2 linked regions of the Zea mays genome follow. The main gene of each other region encodes a partner of the protein of the gene in region 2 in a complex. Links are inferred from orthologs where the notes say so. Each region holds a gene or a part of one and is shown on either strand. Other genes may lie near its edges.

Evidence for each region.
Region 1: DNA-directed RNA polymerase V subunit 1 (region 2) and DNA-directed RNA polymerase V subunit 7 share a complex: the UniProt entries of both Arabidopsis thaliana proteins name them as parts of the RNA polymerase V complex. The link is inferred for Zea mays from reciprocal best matches to the Arabidopsis thaliana genes NRPD1B and NRPE7.

The regions. Positions count from the first base shown.
Region 1 is NC_050101.1:136,913,111-136,917,118, forward strand, and holds DNA-directed RNA polymerase V subunit 7, read right to left. Parts: upstream 2,807-4,008; 5' UTR 2,644-2,806; exon of another isoform or gene 2,523-2,643; intron 2,153-2,522; exon of another isoform or gene 2,122-2,152; coding exon of another isoform or gene 2,042-2,121; intron 1,109-2,041; coding exon of another isoform or gene 1,096-1,108; coding exon 568-1,095; 3' UTR 315-567; downstream 1-314. UniProt on the Arabidopsis thaliana protein: DNA-dependent RNA polymerase catalyzes the transcription of DNA into RNA using the four ribonucleoside triphosphates as substrates.
Region 2 is NC_050099.1:245,977,324-245,980,382, reverse strand, and holds the end of DNA-directed RNA polymerase V subunit 1, read right to left. Parts: coding exon 1,877-3,059; intron 1,698-1,876; coding exon 1,589-1,697; intron 1,465-1,588; coding exon 958-1,464; 3' UTR 509-957; downstream 1-508. Other genes in the region: uncharacterized protein LOC100279602, read right to left, coding at 1-130. UniProt on the Arabidopsis thaliana protein: DNA-dependent RNA polymerase catalyzes the transcription of DNA into RNA using the four ribonucleoside triphosphates as substrates.

The sequences.
Region 1 (4,008 bases), on a different chromosome or scaffold from region 2:
AGATGCCTGGATGTGATGTTGTAATAAAGATGGTTGGCCTGATGAAGAACATGCACTAGTTTCTAGCTATTTGAAACATGTTGAACGAGGCAATTCTAATGTAATAATAATAGACAAAGTGCCTTATGAAGGACATGGTTGACATGCCTTTGTTGCTGTATGAGTGATGTTTATAGTTTTGAGGGTTTGAAGATGTGGATCATTTGCCTATTATTCTTCCGCTGTGCTGTATGAGCGATGTTTATCAATATGCAATGCAAATAAAGAAACACTACAGATGCAAATTCAACCACTCACCAGATCAGGGAACACCATGTAACGTTAACTTCCAAGCAAGCATAGAAAAGGTACATCCATGACAACGCTTGTTCATCATACAGGTACACTGATACGTTCAAACCAGAGCTAAATATCACTGGCAACAGCATCTAGAAAACCTACCATGTCTCAGGTTCTACAAGACCAAACCACTGGTAGCAAAGTTTAATTCTACACATCAGATCCAACCATCCATCCACCATCTAACGAGCAATGTACATTAGAACCTGTTTGACCTGTGGAAGCAGTTCACAGCGGCCCAAGGAAGTCACCAGCGATCGTAGCAAGGAGCTGGAATTGGCGGTCAGCCTCCATCCAGCGGAACCCTAGGACCTTGAAGCGCACGGCGGTGTCCTTCTCCAGCTTCGAGTGGTCGTTCATGAACATCGCATTCTCCCCACCTATGTACTTGTAATTACTCATCGACTTCTCAGCCAGGAAGATGCTCTCCACGGGTCCGGATTTGAGGAACACGCCATGCTTGAGGATCCTGTCCACGTGCCCAACCATGACCTCTCCCTTCATAGGCTTCTGTGTAATGCAAGTAAATGAAACTGGGAACAGAACATCTCCAGTTAGCTCACGCACTTTCCCTTCAGATATTGCCTTCAGCTGATTAACAGCAATGTAGTAGCCATGCTCTTTCGAAGCCCTCCTGTTTGTGACATCCTCCAGAAGACGCACAATGATAGCCTTGCGGAGCAGGAGGCCCTTGCGGTCCAGCTGGCTAGGTGAGATCAACACATTCCATGACATCTCTGCCTCAAGAAAAACCATGGCTGAATACCTGCTAAAAAGATACAAGATATCTACCTTTTAGGAGATTGGTAAAATTAAGCTGGAACAAAACGACATGCTTATTTAGATCATTTCAGGTAAAATTGGGGTAAACCATTCTTTCATAGAAGACGTACAATTGCGAATGAAGTATTGTCATGCAGTAAACTTGAATAATATAAAACAAAACTATGTTGGGAGGCGACATTAACTAAAATTTGAATGTCAAGACATAATTATGTAGCATGACTTCCGTTATGATTATAGGAAATATCAAAAGGTTGGAGGATGTTTGCACAGTCGCACATTTACTGTTGGTTGAGGACTCATCCCCTTCATCATCACAAGAATTTAGTGGCAGATGTAGCCATGTAGGGAAAGGATAGCTTTTAATATGATACAGTTTTCTTTTCTAGGCATATATAGAGGACTTCTCTTACTAAAAGCTTACAGAAACTACTGGAATCAAAACAATGCTGGAACCTAGGCTTATAGTCTGATACAGCTCTCCTCTCTAGATTTATGTAGAGGACCCCTCTTATTAACAACTTACAGATTACAGAAGCTACTAGAATCAAAACAACGCTGGAACCTAGCCATTATATAATCTAACATCAATTATCTACTAACAATTGTTGTTTCCCCACAGCCCACCCTATACTGTGTCCCAGAGAAGTTCTCATGAAAAATTAGTCAAAATAAAGTTCTTTCGAGTGGGGTTATAAGAAGGTATGGTTCATATGTTACACTTTCCTCATTTCAAACAGATTTCACAGAACTGTATAGGCTATTCCCTGCGGACTTCCTATGCGACCTCCTATTTCAAACTATACTCTGTAAAACAGTAGTGCAAATCAGTGTTTTGCACGACCATATGCATGGTCTGCGGAGAGCAAACAGTGTTTTGCACGACCATATGCATGGTCTGCGGAGAGGATGAACCCACTGCAAAACTATGTGGTGGCAGCAAGGAGTACGGATATGAACCCACTGCAGTTCTGAGGACATAACACCTAAAGGCCCCATCCACCAGCTCTGGGGACGTGCCCACTGCAGCAATAACTGGAGTACAAACAATTGTATTCTATTAGTGTAGTATAGTTGATCTATCCCAGCATAATACCGGAGAGGATGAGAAGTAATGGAACAACCGAACAAATTAATACGGAAAAAAAACATGGGTACGATATCATTTCTAGTTTCCAATTGTAGTTGCACGAGAAGAATGCTAGACCTGATTTCTTTATTTACGGATTTTTCCTTTTCACTGCAACCAAACCCAAAGTAAAAAATCAGACAGACCAACAAAGACCCTCGTGCTAGTCTCTCTCGATTACTAACTGACTCTGCCTATATGACGCCAACCCAACAACAGATCATTAAGTGCGCAGAGCAGGGGCGAACACAGTAAAGGAACATGGGTGTACCTTTTTCTTTTGCCAAAATGTTCGTAGTAGGCATCAAATAGCCAATAGCCAAATAGTTAGGGTTTGGGTGTTTGGCGCTGGGACTCGCAAAGCAGGAAGGGAAGAGAAGGCATGGGAGTACCTGGTGAGTGCTTGCCGACGAAAATGCCGACGAAGGCCTCGGCGCCTGGCGTAGCCGCGTAGGGCGGCGGCGGCGGCGGTCAAACCAGAGATGGAGACGTGCTGTGGGTTCGCTATCCACCTTGTGGAAGTGCCGCGTCGCGTGGGGTGCTTGGGTGCCTGACGAGCGGGCCAGGGGCGGGGTCCAGCTGAAGGTGAAAGAGAAGGCCCAGCAGCGAAGCGGTTCGGGCCAGCAAATGGGGACTTGGGAAGAAGCCATTTGGGTCGGGCCGGACTGGAAGGAGAAGCAAGGGCCCGCGGAAAAGGGGGAAAAACAGTACGGGCTACATTCGTCCCGGTGAACAGGGAAGCTGGAAAAGGCTTTTCCTTTTGTTTAAAGAGAGGTGCAACCGAACTTATTAATCTCTACTAACTATTAAGACACTACTGTAGACTGTCCCCGCCTCCCTACGCCCGCCCACCCGCGCGCCCGCCACGATCCGTCCGCCTGCATGCCGCGATCCGCGCCCGCCACGATCCGCCCGCCTGCATGCCGCGATCCGCCCGCCCGCGTGATCCCCGCCGCGAACGCCGCAATCCCCGCCCGCCCGCTGCTATCCCCGCCCGCCCGCCATATTCAAAGGGCCCCAACGCCCACCTCACGCGAACGACTTCACCCGCCGTGGGGACGCCACCGCCGCCATGGCCGCCCACTCCGACACTGTGGCCACGCTGGCAGCCGACGACGCCGCGGACGTCGACGCCACCGACACCGACGGCGACGTGTCGGAGCCCGACCTGAATGGCCCGCGCATCCACCCCGTCCTATCGCTGTCGCTGCTGAACCAGCTTTCGTCGCTGCTGCCGTGCGCCTGGTGGTTCCTAAAACTGAACGAGGGATGCCTCAGCACGTGCGGGCCGGCCTCGTTCTCGTTCGTGTCGCCCTCGTCGTCCGCTTCGGCCGCGTCGGAGGTTTCGAACCGGAGGACGAAGACAGCGGCGGTCGCGTCCGGGCAGAAGAGCCAGCCGTGGAGGTCCCATGTGACCCGGACACGGCGGCCGATCGGGAGGTCCAGCCTCTCGCTGCCGTGGAACTTCCACCGGAGCCCGAGCTTGCCGCGCTCCTGGATGTCAGCTCCAGAGCCGGGGATGCGGACAAGGTGTATGAGTATATGCATAAGCTGAGATGGAGTATTTCCTTTTTTCCTGGCTAATTGGCTAAAACACTGAGCACAATTTTTCAGGGGGTGCAGTGGGAAAAAGTTACAGAAGAAATCAGCAAAAGTGGAGGAAAACGGTGACAACTTTCAAAGCTCTGTAAATAGTCTATAGCCTGCCTAACTGAAGGTGAAACAAAGCCTATCCTCTAGCTACCATGTTGTACAAA
Region 2 (3,059 bases):
CGCGCCAGAGGTCCCTCAGGGTCGGGCGCGGGAGGGCGCCATCAGCAGCGGGCGCTGCGGCGGAGGCGCGCGGGAGGGCGAAGCACCAGGCGCGGCCCTTGACGGGGAAGACGACGACGCGGGCCTGCATCGCGCGGCGCGGCGCAACGAGTGGGAGCAAGGGTGGGACGGCGCGGGGGCGGGACGGTGGTGACGAGTGACGACTGGCGAAGTGGCGAGGCAGAGCGCACTGAGACTTGGAGGTGAGTCAGAGACACTCTAGTGTCGAGACAAAAACGGCTTTCGTTTGGCGGCCCAAGCGGCGCGGTTGGGCCGCCGGTGGCCGTGCAAGCGCTTCTGGGCTATTAGATGAGGATCGGAGGACTAGAAACATGTTTCACCTAAATACTTGCTGTCGTATGTTTTTTACCCTTGTTTATTTCGCATTTACGCTCATAAGTGATACCGAGTATTTTCGAACACGTGCTCCATCTCAAACTGGGCTTCCATTGAACAAAGGCACGCAATGTAACACTATCTACTAGCTCAACAAGCACATATCTGGAGGACAAAGGCATACATTTGCTGATCGACCTGACAACCAAACGACCGCACCAAACAAATCCCTAGGTTTCCAGAGTTTGGCATCACCGCTGGCAAGCCACAGCCCAGAAACCATCAAAAATTTAACAGCAGACGGACTCACAGATTCCAACAGTGGGGAAGGTCCAACTAGATACGGTAAAGGCAGCAGGGGGTAGCTTTGTTCCCAAGGATTTACATGGTTCCCATCAGGGCGAGACGAAACGGACGAGGACGAGCAAGCGGCCGCTAAGGGCTAGAATGTTTGCCGCTACTACCTGTCCACCTCTCCAGATGAAGTCAAGGGGAGTTAACTGACGACTTAGCAAGGGAATGCTCCCTTGCTCAGAGCACAGGTCTGGCTTTTACATGCGGCAGCTTCACACAGCCTAAATATCAGTCAGCGTCGAATCTGGGTCCCCAGTCAGCTTGCGGAGCCTTTCCTAGAAGCCCCGTGCCGTCGGTTGTGTCTGGCTCAGAAGCCACTTGTGGTGCCACAGCTGGAGAAGCCGGAGTCAGATCGTGCTGCTCCCCTAGGATCACAGCGTCGCCTGTTGAGTCTGGTCCGGCGATGTGAGTTCCTCCTTCCAGAGGCACTGCGGGAGAACCCCAAGTCTCTTGTGGAACCTCTGCCTGAGGGGCTGGAGGAGTGCCTTGCTCTGTCTCAGCTGCGGTTGACGGTGGAACCTCATCCGGGGCGCCTGATGCTGTCCCAACATCAGCTGGTGGTGCCTGCCTGCGACGGGGCCTTAAGTACTTCATGCAGAATGTGTCGGCGTCCTCCGTGTAGCTCTTCCTCACAAAGTTCTCCAGGCACTTCAGGTAGGAGAAATCTGCCTGGGATCCATCTGTGGAGACCACGAAAAAGCACCGAGTGTCCTGGAAAGTCTGGTGCTTGTTGACCTGTCAAAAGCAAGGCGATTACAGACCAACGGTCCAAGATAAGACTTGTTTTCACCATGGAATCCTTGATGGATGTGCTCAGGTGACGAAATGCAGAACCCAAAGGCGAAATGTAAAACCGTACCGTTAGGTAGTCGATTTCACCAGACACCTTGGATTGCTTTTCCGGGTGGTGCTCAAGAACTTTCTCCAGGATAAACTTCTCGTCTTCTGGATTAAGTCTAACACCGTCACTGAGAAATTTAAGACAGAATAAAATTAAAATTATCACTGCATAAAACAATATAGCTGTCATGCATACTGTATGCTTTCATGTAAAACATCAGTCACGCTTTTCATTGCTTAATTAAAAAAAACTACAGGTACTATGCAGCACCACAAAAAATCAGCAAGCTATTGTGAGTTCATTTACCATGCTTCACGGAAGATGCTTCTCACACGTAATTTAATAGGTTCAACTTCTAGAAGAATGTTCTTCTCCGCAACTGTTAGTTCGAACCGTTGTCTTGGTGGAGGTGGACCCCTCTCATCTGGTCTCCTTGGGGGTCTCCCAGGATTATTTCTTTGGCTGCTCCAGTTACCAGACTTTGCCCCCCATCCATCTGATTTCCACTCCTTGTTACCAGAATCAGTTGTCTCCGCTGGTGTTGCAGCCCCCCAGGAGTCTTCTGCGGCAGAATCCGGGGCATTTTTTGCCACATTGTCCCAAGAATCATTCTGTGCATCATTCGTCTGGATTGTCGCCTTACTCCATGAATCTTGGAGTGAATCAAGATCCTTCATAGATACTACTTTATCCCATGAACCATCCTGAGTGTTGTTATTGCGAGCTGCGCTCTTAACCCAGGAATCCTGCAGTGCATCAGTGTTATCCCATGGACTTTCATTTGATCTCCCTGTATTCCATGTGTCTGATTCTTTTGGGACTTTCGGATGATCGTCAGACTCCATCTTATCTTCCTCACCCCAACTGGATTCTGCATTAGACTTGGCATTTGGTCTTCCAGTTCCATCTCCAGCATTCCAAGCAATTTCTGATGACGGCATCACATTGTTATAGGAGGAATCATGATCAGCATTTGTCTTCTTCTGTTTGTAATTGCTTGGCTGCTCCTCCCATTGACAGTAGTTACCATCTGCCTTCTTTTTTCCCCTGGCGTTTCCCCATGTGTCCTGATCTACATCCAAACTCTGCCCATTCCAATTGCTGGGATGCTCCCAATTGCCATGGCCATCATCAGACCTGTTCCCCCACGCACCATCACCTCCATCTCCTTTTCTTTTGTCCCATGTATTTTCTGATGAGTCATTTTTCTTTGATGCCTCAGGAGTGCTGGACTTTTCCCAATTACCATCACCTGCATCTGATTCCATTTTAGCACCCTTATCAGCCCAAGTATCTGTTTCAGCTGGTTCTCCAGATACAGTTGCCTCACCTGTTGGCTTCTCAACGCTCCAGCCTCCCCAATCAGTGGTGGAATTGTCCTGCACCTTAGCATGCACTTCCCATGAATTATCTTGATCTGCTGGCTTTGCAGCAGCTCCACCTCCACTACTCCAGCCTCCCCAGTCACCAGAATCATTCGCAACACTAG